4 linked regions of the Arabidopsis thaliana genome follow. The protein of the gene in region 1 interacts with the protein of each later gene in a pairwise test. Each region holds a gene or a part of one and is shown on either strand. Other genes may lie near its edges.

Region 1 (3,871 bases):
TCCCCTGAGCAAAATCGGTTCTTGGCCTCTGGGTTTACCTAGAGCAAAACCAGTTCCGATGGTTACTTGAGTTTTGCTCAGTTCTTATGGGATTGGAGTGGAAGGTCGTGCGCTCGGCAGCATGGAAGCTTTCTCCTTTCAATCAGCTTCAGTAGAGTTTTGGTTTCTTTGTTTGTTTTTTATTTGCTTTAAGAATTTAATGTAAATAAAAATCCAATGAGGATTATCATACAATGTCATGAAGGATCTATGAATTAGTATCTAATGTTAGTATATATTATGGTTTTTCCTAAGTTGGTACTTTCTCTGTTTGAAGTTTGATTATCATACATGTATTTGTTATGGTCCTCTCTTCAACATCTTTAGAATAAAACATATAAGATCTGCAAGGGCTTCAGATTTCTGTAGTGTGGTTAGTCTCTTGGGACATTACGTTACCATAGGACTAACGTCGACTATATTAACGTCACCTAGAAAAAGCTCTAGGATTAATGGTACTTTTTTAGTTTGGATTAGTGGTACTTTAACTTGGTTAATTTTGCTGTTTCAGTGAGAGAAAGGAAAATTGAGTTGGGTTTTTATCAAATTGCTCCATATTCTAACTCTCCGTCAAAGGCACCACATACCAGAAAGAATGAATACAAAATATGATATTTTGATAAGACAAAAATTAGATTGAGAAATTAAAGGATTCGGAAAACTTAAATAAAATCATATCAAACCCTCCATTCCTCTGCTTCGCATCCTCCGGATGCAAAAACACACGTTTCACATTTTTGAAAGAATCTAACCAGACATTGAGAAACCTCTATCATCCGTTAGAAGAAATGGGTTTACAGGTATACACGACACTCATTCTAGCATACAATCAGCAGATTTTTCACCACTGGCTTTCTGGTTTTTCTTCTTTTTGCCTGGTACATGTATGCAAAGATCTTGTTACTTTCCATTATCGGCAAATTTGAATCAAGTGATAATAGTTATTTAGACAGTATGAGATATCAGAGGCTGGCAAAAGCTTAAGGATTACCTTTATTATTTAGTTTGTTCAACTTCAAGCTCTTCTTAACGCTAAATTTTCTGGGGGATTTCTTGGAGTCTTCTGATGCAGCTGATAAACCAGACGGAAGAGATCAGCTATTAATTAAGCAAGACAACTAAATTTTAAAGTCACAAGACCAAAAGGATTCCAAACAAGCCTTTGTGCTGAATAATTTCGTGAGATACACAAACCAAATACAAAAAAAGGACATTCCTATGAATATGTGACCAATAGCTTTCAGGTTTAGGTTCAAAGTCTACATTGATAACCAAATTCAAGATATACTATACATTTCTAAGCATTGAGAGTTGATTCCTAACTGATATTTCGCAATCCCAATCGCAATAAAACAAGATTTCTAAGGACAAGACTTCATTCATGCTGTAAACAAAGTGAAGTCAAGAGATCAATCAACACATCAAAAGCTGAGTAGCTTTATTTCAGGGTGAAGATATACCTTGAGCAGAAGCCATCTCCACATCTTCCATAGTAACAAGACCCTTCTCCACCATATCTTTCTGCTCCTGTTGACGAATCAAACAACTCTTTCTTAACTACTTTAACCACTTGATATTTTCAAAACAGAAGCTCTAATTGCATTCAAAGCTTATATAACTACTCAAAAGACATGAACCCACATAGGACTATGACCTAGTGTGATTCTCCATCTTAGAATAAACCAATTAAATCAAGGAATTACATACTCTGCGCCATTTGCGAAGGAGCTTTCTCTGACGTTTGCCGGAGACGGAGGGGACCGGAGTTCTGGTCTTCAATTTATTGGTGAGAGGATCGCCGTGAATGGCTCGTTTTCTATCGGCTTTAGCCTCTCTCTTCTTCTTCGCAATCTCGTTGTACTTGGCCATCTTACTACTCTACCCAAACCCCTAGCTTCGACGCCTCGCTCACTTAATACCTAAAAACCAACTTCGATGCAAAACCCTAAATTCCACAGTCGCACGAATTCTATTTGGGCCTTTTCTCAATTTCTTATTTGGGCCTTTTAGATATCTTTTTTATCGTTGCTGCTTGAGAAAAATAACAATTAATCCGGTTCGGTTTGATTCGGCTCAAATTGAAAGACGTCAAATTATTGAAATCTGAACTTCTTCTTAAAATAAAAAAAATGTGAAATTTAATTACAAAAAAACAAAATGTGGCTAAACTAATTAGATTTAAGTGTTTAGATGGTTAATGGAAAGCTCTTAGCACATGCTCTCCAGCCTCATCTTCTCTCTAAACTATCGAAATTATGATCTCATCATTAGTATATATACATATAATTAATAATTAATGCATGCATTATCATTCACATATAGGATGTATTGTTGTTATTCCATTCGGTATTTTATATTTTAAAATGTTGATTATGATAAAAAGTCCCATATGGGTGCATGTGAAATATGAAAGGGCATATTATAAAGTTAGATTTGAGCAATTATTTTTTCCTTCTTATGAATATGATAATAGAGGATAAATTTGAAAGGACAAAGAACTTTAATTAGAGGTACTGTCCATATCTACCTTGCAAACCTACAACAATTAAATGTGTTGGACGAACCGATAGTCGATACTCGATAGTCGATAATGGATATATATGCTCGAGGTACGTAAAATTTAGATGTTAATCCGCAAGAATATATAGAGTTGTGCTAGATGTATTAATTAAGATATCGATCTCCAAAAAGTCTATACACTCACGAGAATATGTTTCATATAGTTTTTGGGATCAATTATGGTGATTCTTCTAATGTGAACATGATTCATTCATTTAATGGGTATATCCGATCGAATATATATGTTTTAGATTTTAAGAACAAAATAAAAATGATAGATGGCCCTTTTCGATGGTTCTAAACTTTATTTTGATATCGTGAGAGCACTTAATGCTACTTTGTTCTTCACGCAATCAGCATGCATATTTACTCACAAGTTGCAACCACACGAATATAAACAAATTCGGTTACGGACTTAGGGCTACATATTCAGTTACGTCTTGATGTCATATGCATAGTTTATTGAAGCTCCTTGTCTAAAAATGCATTAATATGCAAACTTTATGCATATATCATATGTATGGCCTTAAATCTCTCAACTCAAACTAATATACAGAGAAAAAAAAATTCTGATAATCGTATTTTGAAAAACATTAAAATCTGTGTTTATAAGATCTAGAAAAACATATATGTCTACATGAATGCAATAATTTAATTAATGTATTTGTATTTTTTTTTTTCAATGCATGTGTAAGTAGATATATTTGATGTATGTATATCTCTCTAGTCTCTACGTAGGTGTCATGGGACGTTCCTAGCTACTTGCAACTTGGCAATGGAGTTATGAACTTTCTTATTTCCTAATTTTAATTATGTTGGAACAACGTGGGAAGATTCTCTCACGACCATCATCTTTCATGTGTGTTTTTTTAATGACGCCATTCGAAACAAAACATTCTCCCGACTAATGAAGACATGCGGAAACTCAACCTAGCTCGACCGCCAAGGATGATATAACTAACCTTATAACCAATAAAAACTTTGCGTTCTTTAGTTACTCATATTTAAGTGAAGTTAAATCATTTGTAAAAAAACATTGTTTGTGTCAAATCATTGGTGAGGTAGAACTAAAATGGTAGTTTTCTTAAAAGACTTTGATCTTGCCTAATTAGCCATCATCTTTGAATAGAAAATAGTTATATTGGACAGTAAGTGAGACACATTCTCTGCCCATGTTTCACTGTCCCACAAATCTCTAATGAGGACAAAGCTTTACAAGTCACTCAGTGTTTTATGATTTAGCTAGCTGTTCAGAAACCCACGATTTCTTCAT
Region 2 (5,434 bases), on another chromosome or scaffold:
AAAGCTTAAGACAACCTTTGGCAGCAAAGCCTCGGAGCTGAAACGATGTTCCAACCACACTTCTTCTAAGTAACTGCAAAACCCCATGAAACCCTTGTCAATAAACATTACCCAGAAAAAAAGAATGAATTCAAATTAAGAGACAACATTTCGGATTCTTTCTCATGAATGAATACCCAAATAAGCAATGAAAACGACAGTAACAGAGTTTTTTTAATTTCTCGTAATACCCAAATGAGAAACACGATAAACATACCTCTGACGAAAACAGAGAGCTTCTCAGTGAATAAACGTTTCGGAGAATCCTCGCCATAGAAAAGCACTAAAAAGCTTCTTCTCCACTTTTTTAAACCACAGATACAGAAACAAACCAAAAACTGGAAAATTCCAACTACCCAGAAGTCAGACTTGTATGAAAACGGAGAAGAAGAGAAATTTCACTGGAAAAAAAAAAGGAAGAGTTTTTTAGGGTTTTAGGTTTTCGTTTCCCTCCGTTTCAACTATTTTTTTTGGGTTTCTGTTGATCGGTCTTTTACAAGTCGGCAGAGATGTTTTTGACTTTTGTCTTTCCCAGAGAAACTCAAACCGATGTCTAAACCGGCTCATTGATGGGTTATGCAAACCGATAAATAAGATTGATTGGTTTTAATTATTTGACGGTTTGGTAATGTTGGTTTATAAAATTCGATCAATCTTAAGTAAACTAGATTGTCTCACAAATTCTCTCATTAACGAGGGAGGATAAATAGAATTGAATTCGAAATCTGACCAGAGAACGACATTAACTCGAAACAAATTCATAAGATCATTACAAAAGGAAAAATCAAGAGACACAAACCAAACCAAAGAACCCATTTTTTTTTTTTAAATAGCAAACCAATCACCCAAAACTGATATATAATAAACCGGACCATGACTCTGCAAATTAAAGAAACACAACCTCGGCTCAAAGACACTCTTCACTCTTCTTCTTCATCATAACTAAGCCAAGATTCTTCACTTCTTCACTGCTGCTTACATTCCGGTGGCCTCTCACCTGCTTGACCTTCCGCAAGTTGACTTCTTCCAGCCTTCTGTTCATTAAAAAAGGATACCTCAGGTTAGCCATTGCATTATCAACAAAAAAAAAAGATCGAGATTGATTGATTGTTAAACCTTGTGCCCAGCTGATGACTGCAACAAAACAAAAGATAAACCACCAAATCAGTTTCAGAGGTTTTAGTTTCCTATGTAGGAAGGTTTTAAGTAGAACAAAACCACATAATTTACCTTCTTTTTGCTCTTCTTTCCTTGATCTGCTTCTTCCTCCTCGTCATCATCCTCATCATCCTCCTCCTCGTCATCCTCATCATCTTCCTCGTCCTCTTCATCATCATCTTCATCAATCTCATCATCGTCGTCCTCAATATCAAGGTCATCTGCCTCAACAGCTTCACCAGTGAACCATGACACAGCATGCGAGATGATTTTCTCTTTGATTGTTGAACTACAGGATAAACAGTGGACAGACTCAGATCCTAGAACTGAACTAAGTGAAGAGAACTGAATATGAAATAGAAAGGTACACACCCGATATCATAATCATGCTCCATTTGTCCTTGGAGTTCATCAGCCTGTGAATATTAGATGATCAGATTAAAATCCAACACAATCTTAATTACTGACTCTAAAAACTAAACTGCTTATGGAGATGGAAATACCATGTCATCATCAAGATCCTCATCATCGTCAGGAACTTGAGGTGGACTGAAAAAGTTGAAGAAACTCTCACAGTCCTCAGTCTTAGTGATCGGCTTTGTGTTTTTGGATCCTTTCTTTGGCTTCTTTTTTAGAATCTTCTGTGTCAAACACTTTCCAGGATACCACTCAATCTCCGTCCTGAACAGCAGTAAACGACAGTCAATAAAGACTTATTGTCTTCAGAACATAAACAGTAAATACTTGATAGAGCAAAACATTACCCGAGGGCCTTCTCAAGGATAGGCTCATCTTCATCAATCATGTGATATGTCTTGGTCAAGACAGTGTTCTTGAAGTAAGGATTCTGATCAAAGAAAAACTCAAGCTTGAACCCTTTTGGTTCTTCAACCCTACTCCACTTGATATCTTTGAGATACTTGAGAGCCCCTTCATCTCGCTCAGTTATCTAAAACCGTGGAAAAAACCACATAATGATAAAGAGAATCGCCATTTTATAAACCAAAAAGAAGAATATTCTAATAACGAACCTCTTCCGCAGTAATTTCATTGTTCTTCAATGCAATAAGCCAGAAATCTGGTACTCCTTTCTCTGCAGAAAGACAGTTTCATATCATATAAAAATCATGAGTTCACCATCATCATCATAAGATACTAAAAATAAACATGTTTCAGTAAAAGAATCGATAAACACACCTTCAGCTGATTTATCTTCTCCTTGTTCGGATTTTACTTCTTCAGCTGCACCTTCAACTTCGACCACACCATTCACAATCTCATATCGCTGTGATGCAGAAGGCAGAAGACCATCAATATCAGTTACAATCACGAATGATGCAGAAAGAAGTGAAAACCATGAAGCACTAATCATTCACGTAAGTAGCAACAGAGAGAAGTCTTATTAAACCTTTATCAATTGAGGTGTCATCATGTGTTTCAAAGATATTCTAATAATAGGAAACTAAAGACCATAAGAATCTCGCAGAATCAAAGACCGTATTCAAACCTTGGTATATAAAGGCTGATATAACTTTTGATACTTAGCTTCAAGAGCTGCTCTCTCCTCAAAGAATTTTGCTTCCATCTCATCATATTGGTTCTGCAAAGGTTAAAATACAAAAGGAATCAGATAAATTTGCTCCACCAAAAACTCATTAGACCTGAACAGCCAGCTAATTCAAAACCAATACAAAATCCAAGATCATCTAAAAGCTGAAAATTTACTCACCTGAATCTCTCTTAGAAACTCGACACGCTTCCTGACTGGTGGAGTCAAGTTTTCAAGGACATCAGAGTGTTGTCCAGCCAAATTCTGCAACTTGTTCTGCAGCAAACACGTAAATCAAATCAGGAAAAGTCACAAACTTTCAAACAACCAAATTAAGATGCATAGACAATCCTCAAAACCAAAGTCAAATTCTCTAAGCCATAAGAATCAAATCAATTTCTCAAAACTAGTCAGGAAGAGAAAACAATCCCTAAAAGTTACAAAGATGAATAGCCCAATCTCCAGATAGTCATACGCAAATCATATCGTGAAGAAAAAACTCACCTTAAGAGCATTAACAAGCCCGGCACGATCCTCCTCGTTAAGAGCTATAAGCAAAACACAAAACAAGAGAAGCTTTTTTCAATAAATCAAGAGAACAAAAGAGAATCCAGGCCTCATTCTATAGGACAATAAGATTATAATATCTTACCGGTGGAGAGATCGGACATGTTCATGCTGTCCTTGTCGTTGCTCATCTTCGCAAGAAAAGAATCTGGCGGAGGAAGAGGAAGGATAAGAAACCTTAAAACCCTAGATTTTTGGGGACAAATACGAGACAGAGAATATATATATAAATAACTAAAAGGGCTTTGAGAAAATGACCAGACCGAAATAAGACACAACTAAAGCGAAAATAACAAATTTTTACATCAAAATTTGGCATGAATATTTGTTTTTAACATTTAAGAGCATTTCTGTTGATTTTTTTTAAAAAAAGGCTTTTAAGAGCATTTCTATTGGTTAGAAGAAATCTAGGTTGCATGGAAACTCGCCCCGAGGTCTATTTCCCATTTCCGAAACGTTACGAAAACAGAAACTCTCCGGAAACATGAAAAACGTAACGGAAACGCGTTTTTTAAAAATTTATGTTTGGAAACACGATGGAAACTTACGTTTTAAAGATAGAAACTCATGTTTCCCAAATAGACATACGACAAATTTTTTTCAACTTTGAAAATTTAATAACTAAAATTAAAATTATTAAAATTATTAATACATATAACTAATTTTGGAAGACTTTGAGTTTTAAGATATTTCTTTTGATAAACCAGATTTGAAAAGAGCTTTATATTATCTTTGATGAAACTAATGAAAATGAAAATGTTGGTCTAAATTAACTATTTGAACTTGAACCTTTTAATTTTTATCTTTTAGAATTTTAGTTTATTTATTTAATATTGATGTTTTGGACTTGTATTGTTTAAACCATTTTTTCTTTAATATAGTTTTATGTTAATGTTATATATATATATATATATATATGTATGTATGTGTATACGTTTCCAATCCCTAATTTTAAGAAAAAATCGTTTCCAATCCCTAATTTTAAGAAAAAATCGTTTCTCGTTTCCGAAACGTTTCGTATTCGCGTTTTCGTTTCCATTTCATTGCAACATAGGAAGAAACTCACGAGTCTTTTGATGATAGAAGTTTATTTATTTAACTAAAAATTTATTTATTACAAAAGTTTAACCTAATCATCAAAAAACAAATGTATATAAAAAAAAAGTATGTCATGAGTTTCTCAAGTGAAAAAAGAGTCTACTTTCTTTTAGCTCGAAGACAATTCTCATATTCTCATGAATGCTAGCTGATCACATGTTAATGCTTAATCTGGATTGATGCATTGTCATGAGTCACTCAAATTTCATATTAGCACACTATAGTAAGCAAATCTGATTGGAAAACATCTAGTGAGATGCTGCTTTGTTAGTTTAGGGAAAAATGCTTATTTGGTCCTAAAGATTTCGACTTAAGAATAGAGAAATGGTAAAAAAATGTAGAACATCATGCCAATCAAATGATACAAAAGTAACATAACCACCAAACGCATTTGCATGATCTATCTAATATTATATGTACCTATTTTGGTTTAAGGTCATTAATAAACTTGTTGATTAGTTTTTAATAATTTTGTAAAGTTTCTCAAACAATTTCTTTATTTTTATGATATTTTTCACAACTTTATTTTGTAAAAAAAAAGGGTATGATATTTTTCACAACTTTATTTTATAAAAAAAAGGGTAGAAAGTCATAAACCAATAACACAATAATTTAATTCATTATAATAATCATAGATTCTTTGTTTTAAATGAATTACACAAAAAATTTAATAACTTTATAAAAATATGAATCCAATAACTCTACATTTATGAAGATTTTATATTACTTTTTACAAATCTTAAACTAATAACACCAAACTTTAACAAAAAATTGAAAAATCTTTATTGAATAACAACAAATTCTTCATAACATTTTAAGTCACTGAAACTTCGAATACATCACAAACCAATAACACTCCCTAAATAAATTTATATATATTACTAGAAGTCTGGTTATTTGTTTAAATGTTAAAAGATATATGAATTTGTAAACTTAAGAGATTTATGGAATTTAGGAAAATATAAAAACAAAATCCTTATTCTTATTATAAAGTTTCTAAGAAATATACTGTATATTTTTTTC
Region 3 (6,195 bases), on another chromosome or scaffold:
GGAAAAAGAAAGGTTACATCCAACAAAGCATTAGCCAATGAAATTGTAGAACATAGATAGAAAAGTCTAAAAAGATAGATTCGATCCCAAAAAGAAGTTTTATTGAATAATATTATTGCCTTTTCAATCGAGAAGAGAGGCTAAGTAAGGTTCGACCGATAAGGGTAAACTTCAAGTAAATGCACTATGAGTCAGTCTATGACATTGACAAACAATTTATATCTTCTTTGTAGAGTTTCTTTCTTTATTACGTCAACAAAGTGAAAAAAAAAACTCACTCTTATCTTCACCCTTACTTCCAAGCATCTCAAAAGACGTTTTTTACATAATAGCCAGATTTGTGCTGAACACTTTCGTCGATGAGCGGCACCATTTCAGAAGTTAAAGTACGTCGTACACCTTACGTGGGGATGATAATGATGTATGCAAAAAACGTCTCATAAGTGTGAATCAAGTTTCTTTTAGTAATATTGTAATGCAAATTGGCTACTAAATAAATTTCTATGATAAGGTCTGATGATTAACTGATTAACAAAAGCACAGATTTTTCTTTAAAAGGTTTATAGTTTGCAAATGCACAGATTAAAAAGGTTTCTTTAAAAGGTCTTTTTCAGAGTAATTTCGTAAATAGTTTGCAAAATACATTAAAATTTAATATTACAACTCTTCTTCTCGTAGGCAACATCGGTGACCTTTATGCTTCAGATGCTCACCGACCATCTCCCCTGAAAACCGAACAAACCCGCTAATCGATCAGACCCAATCATTGACATTGTCAACTTAATACTAGTAGACACCTAAATAGAACTAGAAAGTCTTCAAGAGTCGTTCAGTTAGAAGAAACGTACAAGGTATCAGCTAACATGGCACGGATTTTGGCTCTTAGCTCATCCGAAACTTGAGATGGTTCATTTTGCAGATACGGGATGTTATCTCCAGGAGATGCTTTAAGATCAGACTGATCTGACTTTGAAACAGTCTCCTCTTCCACTGTTTTCTCATCTTTCTTTATACGTTTACTAGACTTGTGACGATGACCATGCTCAACGTCTGAAGAGTCCTCGTGCTTGCGTCTACTGGATCTGTGTCGGTGGTGATGATGTTCATCATCAGATGAATCACGGTGCTTTTCATGCTTCCTGGATCTGTGATGATGGCTACGCTTGTCCTTAGAATAATCAACGTCTTTGCTATGCTTACTGGATCTGTGTCGGTGCTCACCCTCATTATCAGAAGAATCATAAAGCTCATGCCTATCTGAAGATTTGCTGTGTCTGTGTCTATGACGCGAACGACTGTGATACTCATCATCTGAGGAGCTCTCATGCTTGTGCTTGTCCCGAGAATGTCTGTCCTTGGAAGAGTATCGTGTCTTATGTTTATGCCGTTTTCTACTACATGAATGCTTCTTATCAGTCTTGGTTTCTTCTGTAACTTCGTCCATGCTGCTCTCTTCCTCTTCTCCTTGTTCCATCTTACCATCTTCATCTCTCTGTGATCTCGAACGGTAATTCCTCTTTGATCGTCTTTCACTGTTACCATCATCCGCTAGTTTTGACTCAGCTACATATGGAATCGAGCTACTGTCTCTTTCTTTGGCAGCCTTAGCACCTAATCCAGAAATCCCAGAGTCCAACGGTTCGACTGATATGCTTCGCGACGGTTCAGCTTGTTGAACTGGCTGCGCATCAGGTTTTAACTTGGCCACAAACATTTTTGCACGTTTCAATCTTTCTGCCTTCAACTTCTGCTCTTTAGACAAGCCTGCTTCAGAAGAATCAGCTTCACTAGCAGCAGTCGAGCCAGAGAGTGATTGACCTGTAGATTTGGCCAAATCAGGGGACTTAGATGAAGGGTAACTCACATCATTTCCAAGGGTCTGAGAAGTCTCATCCATGGGTTTGCCTGTTAGAATCCCCAACTGGGGATTCCTTATGCCTCTTCTAGCCGCTTGAAGAATAGCAGCAGCAGTATTCGCATCCACATTGACCCTCATCTGCGGTTGGACAGGCTTGAATGGTTCATTGTGCAACTCGACCTTTGGTTTGTCACTAACCATTTTTAGTTTCTCTTTCTTGGCAGAATCATCTGGTAAAACACTCCCAAACCCGTGTTTGCTATCTTTTACAGCATTGCCCATCTTCTCTTGCTTCACGTCTTCTTTTCTGATAATAACGCCTTTGTCACCTGATTTTAACTGCATATGAAATCAACCAACGTTTTACATTTTAGTGAAAGTTACAATCACAAGGTTTAAAAAGCACGTGAAAACACACCAAATTTGTAGCAGGAACATTTTAAGAACTTGAAACAGAATTACCTCTTCGGCTTCTTGGAGAACCTTCCGATAATATGCATGGTATAAGCTAGATGGACGTAAGAATGGAAACATCCCGTATTTCACATCCTGTGCAACAAGAGTAGCCTCTAGTTCTTTCCCGTTCTTTTGAATGAAGTCTACTATCTTATCAATCACTCTTTTCATCTCAGTAGTCGGCTCCACAATCTGCAGTTCAAGCTTGGGTTGCGACTTATCAGACGTCACAAGTTTTTCTGTATTGATCTGCTTCTTCTCTACAACATTTACTGCGCTGACAGAGGGATTTCTTTTTATGAAAGATGCATGATCATTCAACGGCAGAGAATGCTTAGAGGCAATCTTTGCAGCTCCTTTCGACCCTTCAGGTCCATTGGAATCAGTTACCTTAACACCATCATCACCTTTGGCGGACTCACTTGTTTTGGAGTCGTTTGCAGACTCTTCGTTAGCATCTTCATCTTCTACAGTCCCATAAACCGAACCAAGCAATGACAAAGCTCCACCATCCTTCTCACTTTCGTTCTTTTTCTCTTCTACAGAAGACTTTCCTGTCAAAAGCTCTTGATGGTCAACAAGAAACCTAAAGTAAAGGTGAAGATGATGGTCTGGCATTAGGAACCCAAATGTAGGGTTGTCTCCTTGTTTGACTCTCAAGACAATTTCAGATTGCCCACCGTGTTTGCTTACAAAACTTGAAGTCCTAGTGATAATCTGATGTAATTTCTCAGTTGGAGGCTGAAAGAAGAGAGAAAAAAAATATACAAGAAAAAATTAGTAATGTGAAATATGATGAATGACACCTTTGGCAACTCGCAGGTATATATACATAATAAAACCTCACATAAGTATCGAGAACCATAAATTGCAAAATTCAGAACTGTATAGAAATGCATCATCTGGTGTGCAATCAGTTTTAAGGTTCTTGGTAAGTCATGAATTTTTATCATCTTAATCCCACCTGCACTGCCCCTTGTCATGGCAGCAAAAGGAAACAAGGTGCATGTGAATGACAACCTTAGACAACTCCATCTCTTCTCCGAGCATCTGAAACTTAGACATAGTAGTCCTTAGAATAACAAATGCACCTTTCAGATGTTTACGTGGCCAATATCAGTTTAAGTACCAAATAAGTTAGCAAAAACTAGCATACTGCTAAAGGGAACAATCTAAAGCAATAACTTACCAGGTTTTGACGTAAGTAATCAGGCACGGGGAAAGGCGGGTGAAATCCAGATTCCATATCAGCAGCATTTTTCTGGTCATTGACATCACTAGAGCTTCCATATGAAAAAGAGACAGCACGATAACCATCCGCATTTGTATTTGCTGAATCCTCATTCATATCTGGAGAGTAAAGCAAATCCAAAGGGCAAACAAATTAAGTTTCGATCTGAATTTTTCGTAATCATTCTCTAGAACAGTTTTATGTCTCTAACATAGCTAGTTCGAGTCTCTCTACCATATAGATTAACGGAGATTTCTACGGAGTTCATCATCCTTACCGTGTTCATCATCATCCGACGGAGATGGAGATTCCGACGGTAAATCTAGATAACGCTCGTGATCGAGCTCCGATTCCAAGTCAGCATCGTTTGAATTCGGACGACGGCGTTTGATACGTGGAGGAGGAGGAGAAGAGAGGAGATGACGAACATCGTAGCGGTCAATAAAGAGGCTGTTCCAGTCAACGAGCGCCGTCGGAGAGTTGACAAACGTTGCCATCGAATCATCGTCGAAAAAGAGAGCGTGACGACCAACAATCTCTAGATCCATTGTGTGATTCTTCTAAAGCAATGGAGAATTGGGATTTGGGGAAGAGGCTAGGGTCTGTGTAATCCGTAATTTGGAACCGGATGTTCCAAATTCGTGATTGACCCAAAGATGTGATGACTTACAAAAGAGATCAAGTCGACTAAATGACGTCGTTTATAAGACTTTTTTACTTGCCGTTTGAAAAGTAATAAAACCACACGCATTTGGGAGAAAATAACTAACAACGACGTGCATTCTTTATGTTTTTGCGTTTTCAACCCTGCTTAAGAAAGTTTATATTTTTTCCCCATAACCTTAACTTTAATAAATGTAAGCCACCCTAAGAGTGAAAAAGCAGTGAAATCTCCAAATTTAAAGTGCTTCAACATTTGTGATTTCATTGGAGAATTTTGCTCAATCTAGTATCTGCCTCGTCTTGATGTGACGGTTATCCACATTGAGTTTTTACTTTGATGAAAATATTATGAGCTCTCTTTCTTTCTTTTTTAGGTAACTTATGAACCCTCTTTCTTTGTCAGGGCTTTCAAGCTATCTCCTCATGATACAATGGTTAAGTGATTTAATATTCTCTCTATATAATTTTTGTAATTTTATGCATCTATCTAACCATGTTTGAACAACCTGTATGGCACATTGTTTTCAAAAGTTTCGAAAGCAATTACTCTGTAGAAATAATACTAATTAAACTAACGTTATCTAATTAAACTAACGTTAATGTAAAACGACTTTGCGTGTGGCTTAATAGTTAATGCAACAGAAAGATATCGTAGAGAAACAATAAGATTATCGTATAGGTCGGAAAATGACCAATAAGCAACAAGGGAATGGTTTTGACTTTTTTGACGTAAAGTTTATACATTGTTTAACAAATTGGAGGAAAGCGTTGACCTCTCTCTATTGCTTTCTTCAACACCGTATATAATATTTGTGCCTTGTGGACGTCTTTGACTGGTTTATTCAAGAATTTTCTTCGATAGTTCGATCGTTGGTGTATAGAGCTATATTAGTGTAAGCTACTATAGGGACATTCAAATTTTATATAACTGTTTCAAAAACTAAATATAGATTGTACACATTTATGCAAAAACATACATTTAACAAAGCAAGTTGTATTAGTTTAATTAATGGTCATCATCGTACTAATGGACATCATAATTCGGATTCCATTACACATATTTATATCAGGAATCACGGGTTTGTTTGTAACTTAAAATAAAGTGGAAAGATCTATATACCTTGTATTTTCATTTGTAATGTGAGATATTCATTGTCTCGGACATATCACTACAAAACGGACTATATACATTGGCGGACGCAAGTGTATAAGTACTGGGGCACGTGCCCCATGCAAGATTTGATAATTTTGAAGTTTGTTGTGCAATTTGTATTGTAGATGAAAGAATTCGTTTGTTGTGCCCCATGTTAGAGTGACTTTTTTTCTAGTCAGTTGGTTATTACTCATTAATTTTACTATTTTCAAGTAATAAATGTTTTCAGTATTTAACTTATTTTTACTTTATTTATCTTTTTCTATAACTGTTTGAAGGAATTATGCTAATATAAGGTACTGCCAATGTTGATTGACACTTCAAAAAATTTTCTTCCATTTACATGTCTTTTAAGAAATGTTCATATTGTACTTTATTTTAAAAATTTATAAATATGTTGTGCCTCGGGTTAATTATGGTTCTAGATCCGCCACTGACTATATATGTATACTATGAGAAATCATATGTCGGGTAATTATACTTGGAACTATGGTACCATATTAGAAGATTAGAGATAGAATGAAAAAAAGAGTTGAATTACTCCATGGAAAAGACTAAAGAGAACGGAGTTGTACATCATTTATGTAAGAGATTGTCTGATATGAACAGAAGACTAGTGACGATGGAAGGAACTTAGCCTTACAAAGCTTGCTCATGTGTTTCTAAAGTAAAAACTTTTATTTATTGACTTATATAGATTATTTTCATATTATTCTATTGTTACAAGTTACAATGTAAAAATGGCCTTTCATATATTAAATTATATAATCGTGGTTGATTGGGCGTATGCGGATCGAGAACTTTAGAATTCAAGTTAAAGCAAGTGTCCATTAG
Region 4 (5,349 bases), on another chromosome or scaffold:
ACGTATCAGACTGTCGAGATTTGGATGCAAAAATCGGCCATTTTTTAGGGTTATGGCTGCTGATAGCAGATCTCCAAGAGACGGGAAGCATCTTGAGGTCTTAGGTTACTTCAATCCTTTGCCAGGTGATTGACAAAACAAAATGTATTCCAATTGGTGTTGTTCGTAGAGTTTTCGATTAAAATACACGATCTCTTGGTCTATGTGTTCAGGCCAGGACGGTGGTAAGAGGATGGGTCTCAAGTTCGATCGAATTAAGTATGTTTCTTCTCATCTAATTCTCTAGTTTCTTATGTTTTTTTCGGTAAAATCAGGTAGGTTTTGGGTTGAATTTACTCAGAAAGAGGTCTCTGAATGCTTCACTAGATGATTAAGGCTTTTCTGCATTTGAAGTGTTTTGGTTAATTGCTAAAGTTAGCTTCTAGCCGCCTCTAGATATCTTAATGCATTGTTGTATAGTCAACATTGTGTTATAGTTAACTATCTTTCGATCTGATACAAAGGAGCTGAGTTCAGTCTTTGAATGGTTTTTGTTATCGAAAGGCGAATGAATCTACATGTTTCCCATGGTTGGTTTTGATCACTTTCTTTCTCTTCATGGTATTGAACCATTAGTTGAAGCAATTTTCTACCTCATTTAATCACTAACTTATGAAAGGAAAAACTGAAATATTTGTGGAAATTCATCAACAAGTTTTGTTATATAACAAATGAAACTTCTCCGCCAGTCTTGAGTCTTTCTATGGAACTTCTGCTCTGAGTTCTGGAATTGTTTCTTATTAGTGTAAGATGAAGAACCTGTTGATTATCTATTCGTATACACACTTACTTACATTCTTAATTGTTCACCATATACAACCTCTTTTGCATAATTGTATGGTCATGTAGCTTTAGAATCTTGTCATGCTCTTTATCATCATCTAAAATTAAGATTATAATGTCCGGATATTAGAAGAACACATGTCAAGACTACTTAAAAGTTAGATCCTGGTCTGTCTTTCTTTTGTTCTGAATGACTAGTTTCAACAGAGGATGCATATAGTTTGATTAATGGACATTTTGTTTGATTCTCTTGTTCTGTACAGGTACTGGTTATCTGTTGGTGCTCAGCCATCAGACCCGGTTCAACGTCTCCTATTCAGATCCGGTTTACTTCCTCCTCCTCCAATGGTGGCTATGGGACGTAAAGGTGGAGCACGAGACACACGCCCAGTTGATCCGATGACTGGTCGCTATGTGGATGCAGAGAATAAAACAGTTAATGCCAATGATAACCAGCCTAAGGAAGAGGATACAGAAGCCAAGAGTGCATGATTCATTAGCCTTCTGTCATCGTAGCTTTTCAAGTTCACTTTGTTGTCGATTATATTGTGTAATGCAGCATTAGACAACTGACTTGTTTCCTTTGTTTGGCGATAAACGGCAAGGTGTTTGGCACTTTTTGCAGAAACGGCACATATTTTGCATTGGGATATTTTAGATTTTAAAAAATGAAAAAGTAAATAAAAATGCCAGCGAGGGAATTAAAAAAAAAAGAATGGCAGTTGTTAGGTTTAAATTTTATAAAGGAGGAAGCCACGTTTTGCGTTTAGTCGCCACCCAGAAAAAACCCTCAAGTCTTCTTCTTCTTCCTCAATCTCTCCACCTCTTTTCAAACCTTCTTCACACTCTCTCTCAATCAATCCTTTTTCTTCTCAAATCTTTCAGTTTTGATCTCTAAATTTCCAGAAAATGAGCAACGATAAGGACAGTTTCAATGTCAGCGATCTCACTTCTGGTAAATCTATATCTCCGATTTTGTTTCTGCGGCTTTGCTTCTTCTTAGTCAAAGTTTTAGAAGCTTTTTTGTTTGTTTGCAGCTCTTAAAGATGAGGATCGAGCTGGTCTTGTCAACGCTCTTAAGGTGAGTTTCTCTATCTCTTCTTATATCGATTTGCATTATACTTGAAGAGGAACATGTAATTTGGGCGTTTCGTCATTTTATAGTTTCTGTGGAGATTTTTTTGTAACTGTTATGTGTTTGATTCACAGAACAAGCTCCAGAATCTAGCTGGACAACATTCTGATGTGCTCGAGAATCTGACTCCTAAAATTAGAAGGCGTGTTGAGGTTTTGCGGGAGATTCAGGTTTGGGAAAACTTCCATTCACTTTTTATGAGCTCTATGCTTATGTTGTGATTAACGTTTCCTATATAAGCTTTTGTTCAATAGATTGGTGTAGATTGATATGGTATCTTGTGAGTATGATGTTGAAATGTATATTTGTATGCTTTTGATTATATGAGAATGCTGTGCATTCTTTTGATGATTATCTGAGAATCCTTTTCGTTTTTTAGGGCAAACATGATGAAATAGAGACAAAATTCCGCGAGGAGAGAGCTGCTCTTGAAGCCAAGTATCAAAAGTTATATCAGCCTTTGTATAACAAGGTAATTTGGTTGTAGCAAGATTAAACTATTTTGAAAAATTTAGTTATCCTGTATTTTCTTTATTTCCAGCTGTGTTGGCTTTAGTTAGCTTCGAATTTCTCTTGACACTGGCTTGACATTTGGAATGTGCAGCGTTATGAGATTGTGAATGGAGCTACTGAAGTTGAAGGGGCTCCAGAGGATGCTAAGATGGACCAAGGAGACGAGAAAACTGCAGAAGGTACTCTCTCTCTCTCTTTGCCTTTGTAAATTGTAATCATTCTTGCAAGAAAAAAACAATTTGCTTATTTCACCGGGCTGGATTGCAGAGAAAGGAGTCCCTAGTTTCTGGCTGACTGCTCTGAAAAATAATGATGTTATATCTGAAGAGGTTGGTGTTACATCTATGATTGTTCATTTAGAGTTACTTAATCATATCCATGGAAATTGACCAGAGTTTTAATTTCTTTTGATTTCAGATCACAGAGCGTGATGAAGGAGCCCTTATATATCTTAAAGATATCAAGTGGTGCAAGATTGAAGAACCAAAGGGATTCAAACTTGAGTTTTTCTTCGACCAGAATCCTTACTTCAAAAACACCCTATTAACAAAGGCGTATCATATGATTGATGAAGATGAGCCTCTGCTTGAGAAGGCTATTGGGTAATTGTTGATAACTTTTTTGTAATATTTATTCCCTAGCATATTTTGTTCTGAGATTCTTCCAAGGAGCTGCGGAATCTTGTACTGACTTATGCACTAACATGGATTTTGATTCTTTGTTCTTTGTCTCAGGACAGAGATTGATTGGTATCCTGGAAAATGCTTAACTCAGAAGATTCTTAAGAAGAAGCCTAAGAAAGGTGCAAAGAATGCCAAGCCAATTACCAAAACTGAAGATTGTGAAAGCTTCTTCAACTTCTTCAATCCTCCCCAAGTTCCTGATGATGATGAAGACATTGACGAAGAAAGAGTATGATATCATTTGGTTTTAAGACAGGCCCTATTTTGACTATGTTTGATTATACTTTTGTAGTAATGTTTTCTGTTCTTGGTGCAGGCCGAGGAACTTCAGAATCTGATGGAACAAGATTATGACATTGGGTTCGTCTTCTTGAACATAAACTCTGTCAATTTAATATATTCCGTCTAACTTATTACCAACTGTATAAGAGCTCTAGCTAGCATCTTTTATCGGAAAGTTAATACATTATTTAGTATCTGATTCAAGTATTCCTTGCTTCTTGCAGTTCTACAATCCGGGAGAAGATCATACCTCATGCTGTCTCATGGTTTACTGGTGAGGCTATTGAGGGAGAGGAGTTTGAAATAGACAATGACGATGAAGATGATATCGATGAGGATGAAGATGAGGATGAAGAAGATGAAGACGAAGATGAGGAAGAAGACGACGAAGATGAGGAGGAAGAAGTAAGCAAGACCAAAAAGAAGGTATTGGATTCCTCTTGTTTCATTTCTTCTTGTCATGGAATTACCTTTTCTGAGTTAGTTACTAACTTTTTGATATTGTGTTGAATGTTTATGCAGCCATCAGTCTTACACAAGGTACATAGCCATATTCCACCCTTCTTATAGTATTTGTCTGAGTTAATTAGATAATCCGATACCAATGAGTCATACAACGGTCATAAACTATTGACATTTATAGGCTAGACCATGATCTAAAAAGTAGAGAACATGACCCGTGAATTAGGAGATAGCTGAAATTAACTGATTAAGCTCACTATGCACGAATCTGTGAATCATAGAAACTTGAACTCTTATATGACTGAGAATTATAAATGAAACTATGTAGAATCCTTCTCATGCATATTTATAAGCTTAGGCTAAATCTAGTACTTGCAAACCATTGTGCTATGTTTGTGATAATGAGATGGATTCTATAGTCATACTCTTTTTGAAATCATATTGCAGAAAGGAGGGAGACCTCAGGTTACCGATGATCAACAAGGAGAGAGGCCTCCTGAATGCAAACAACAGTAAACAAAATCGAAAAGTCTAAACGAAAACCAGTAAAAGAAAAACAAATGTTTTGGGTTTTGAGTGAAGTTTCATGGCCTAGTTTTTTGCTTCCATGTAAGGCAAAATGTTTTGAAGACTGCTCATAGGAATGTTGCTGTAGGCAAAAGAGTGAGTTTCTCCATGTGGAGATACTTGATAAATTATTTTTGGTGCATTTGTTTTTTTTTTTTTTAATCACTAAGTTGAATTTTGGTGTGTTCGTCAAAATTATATCTTTTTACCACTTGAATTAAGTCTCTTTTGGTTTCTTTAATTTAAAAATAAATAAATCTTATCATTGTTTTTTTTGTGTGGACATAAGTGTATTATTCTTATTGTAAACCAAGAAAAAAGAACAGAAAGAAATTTGTTTTCATGTAGTTTCTTCTTCAATGGGTCGATTAGTATTTCATTATGGTCAAAGTCAAATTAATCACACACCGTGACCATTAGCAATTTAGCATTAGTGAGTGTCGTTATTCGTTAATAAATCAATTAATTGAGTCATTTAAATAGTAAACGTTAAAATCAAAGATGCACACGAAAGGGACTCTTTCTATATACAGAAAAAAATATATGTACTTGTTTTAATAGTTGATTTTGACTCCAAATGGAATTTGCTGATTCTACCAAACAACGGTTTTGGATTAATGCGTATTTGTTTTTGAATATTTTGCTTCACCGTAACAAATCATGTCCTCTCAAGGACTGAAGATTCTTTTATCAGTTAATTACAAATACAATTAGTGCTAATGAATCATTTCACATTACCCTGAGGTTATCAAACTATTGACTTCAAATCTTTGTCGTCCATTGACTTTTTTTTTTTTTACAGCTTTGTCGTCCATTGACTATAAATGTTATATTGGAGTATTGTTTAAGCGTGATTAATTTTTTCTAAAGCATGATTTAGTCAAT

What was found.
Region 2: the proteins of AT1G08580 (region 1) and NAP1;2 interact in a two-hybrid assay, tested with the Arabidopsis thaliana proteins (one large-scale study listed by BioGRID).
Region 3: the proteins of AT1G08580 (region 1) and AT5G55100 interact in a two-hybrid assay, tested with the Arabidopsis thaliana proteins (one large-scale study listed by BioGRID).
Region 4: the proteins of AT1G08580 (region 1) and NAP1;3 interact in a two-hybrid assay, tested with the Arabidopsis thaliana proteins (one large-scale study listed by BioGRID).

Annotation. Positions count from the first base shown.
Region 1 is NC_003070.9:2,714,444-2,718,314, forward strand, and holds AT1G08580 (uncharacterized protein), read right to left. Parts: upstream 2,090-3,871; 5' UTR 1,909-2,089; coding exon 1,747-1,908; intron 1,567-1,746; coding exon 1,500-1,566; intron 1,112-1,499; coding exon 1,031-1,111; intron 915-1,030; coding exon 853-914; 3' UTR 551-852; downstream 1-550.
Region 2 is NC_003071.7:8,436,611-8,442,044, reverse strand, and holds NAP1;2 (nucleosome assembly protein 1;2), read right to left. Parts: upstream 3,590-5,434; 5' UTR 3,445-3,589; coding exon 3,399-3,444; intron 3,295-3,398; coding exon 3,251-3,294; intron 3,023-3,250; coding exon 2,927-3,022; intron 2,798-2,926; coding exon 2,705-2,797; intron 2,483-2,704; coding exon 2,395-2,482; intron 2,291-2,394; coding exon 2,229-2,290; intron 2,147-2,228; coding exon 1,962-2,146; intron 1,879-1,961; coding exon 1,701-1,878; intron 1,614-1,700; coding exon 1,570-1,613; intron 1,487-1,569; coding exon 1,270-1,486; intron 1,174-1,269; coding exon 1,156-1,173; intron 1,074-1,155; coding exon 1,005-1,073; 3' UTR 544-1,004; downstream 1-543. Other genes in the region: RECA2 (recA DNA recombination family protein), read right to left, coding at 16-73, 257-313. UniProt on the Arabidopsis thaliana protein: May modulate chromatin structure by regulation of nucleosome assembly/disassembly. May function in nucleotide excision repair (NER). Involved in somatic homologous recombination.
Region 3 is NC_003076.8:22,360,572-22,366,766, forward strand, and holds AT5G55100 (SWAP (Suppressor-of-White-APricot)/surp domain-containing protein), read right to left. Parts: upstream 4,254-6,195; 5' UTR 4,094-4,253; coding exon 3,823-4,093; intron 3,665-3,822; coding exon 3,504-3,664; exon of another isoform or gene 3,056-3,503; coding exon 2,321-3,055; intron 2,198-2,320; coding exon 830-2,197; 3' UTR 726-829; coding exon of another isoform or gene 710-725; 3' UTR 545-709; downstream 1-544.
Region 4 is NC_003076.8:23,030,887-23,036,235, forward strand, and holds NAP1;3 (nucleosome assembly protein 1;3), read left to right. Parts: upstream 1-1,562; 5' UTR 1,563-1,731; coding exon 1,732-1,777; intron 1,778-1,859; coding exon 1,860-1,903; intron 1,904-2,031; coding exon 2,032-2,127; intron 2,128-2,336; coding exon 2,337-2,429; intron 2,430-2,561; coding exon 2,562-2,649; intron 2,650-2,737; coding exon 2,738-2,799; intron 2,800-2,887; coding exon 2,888-3,072; intron 3,073-3,204; coding exon 3,205-3,382; intron 3,383-3,469; coding exon 3,470-3,513; intron 3,514-3,659; coding exon 3,660-3,861; intron 3,862-3,957; coding exon 3,958-3,975; intron 3,976-4,344; coding exon 4,345-4,413; 3' UTR 4,414-4,807; downstream 4,808-5,349. Other genes in the region: AT5G56940 (Ribosomal protein S16 family protein), read left to right, coding at 1-125, 213-258, 1,086-1,314. UniProt on the Arabidopsis thaliana protein: May modulate chromatin structure by regulation of nucleosome assembly/disassembly. May function in nucleotide excision repair (NER). Involved in somatic homologous recombination. Could be involved in response to abscisic acid (ABA) and to salt stress.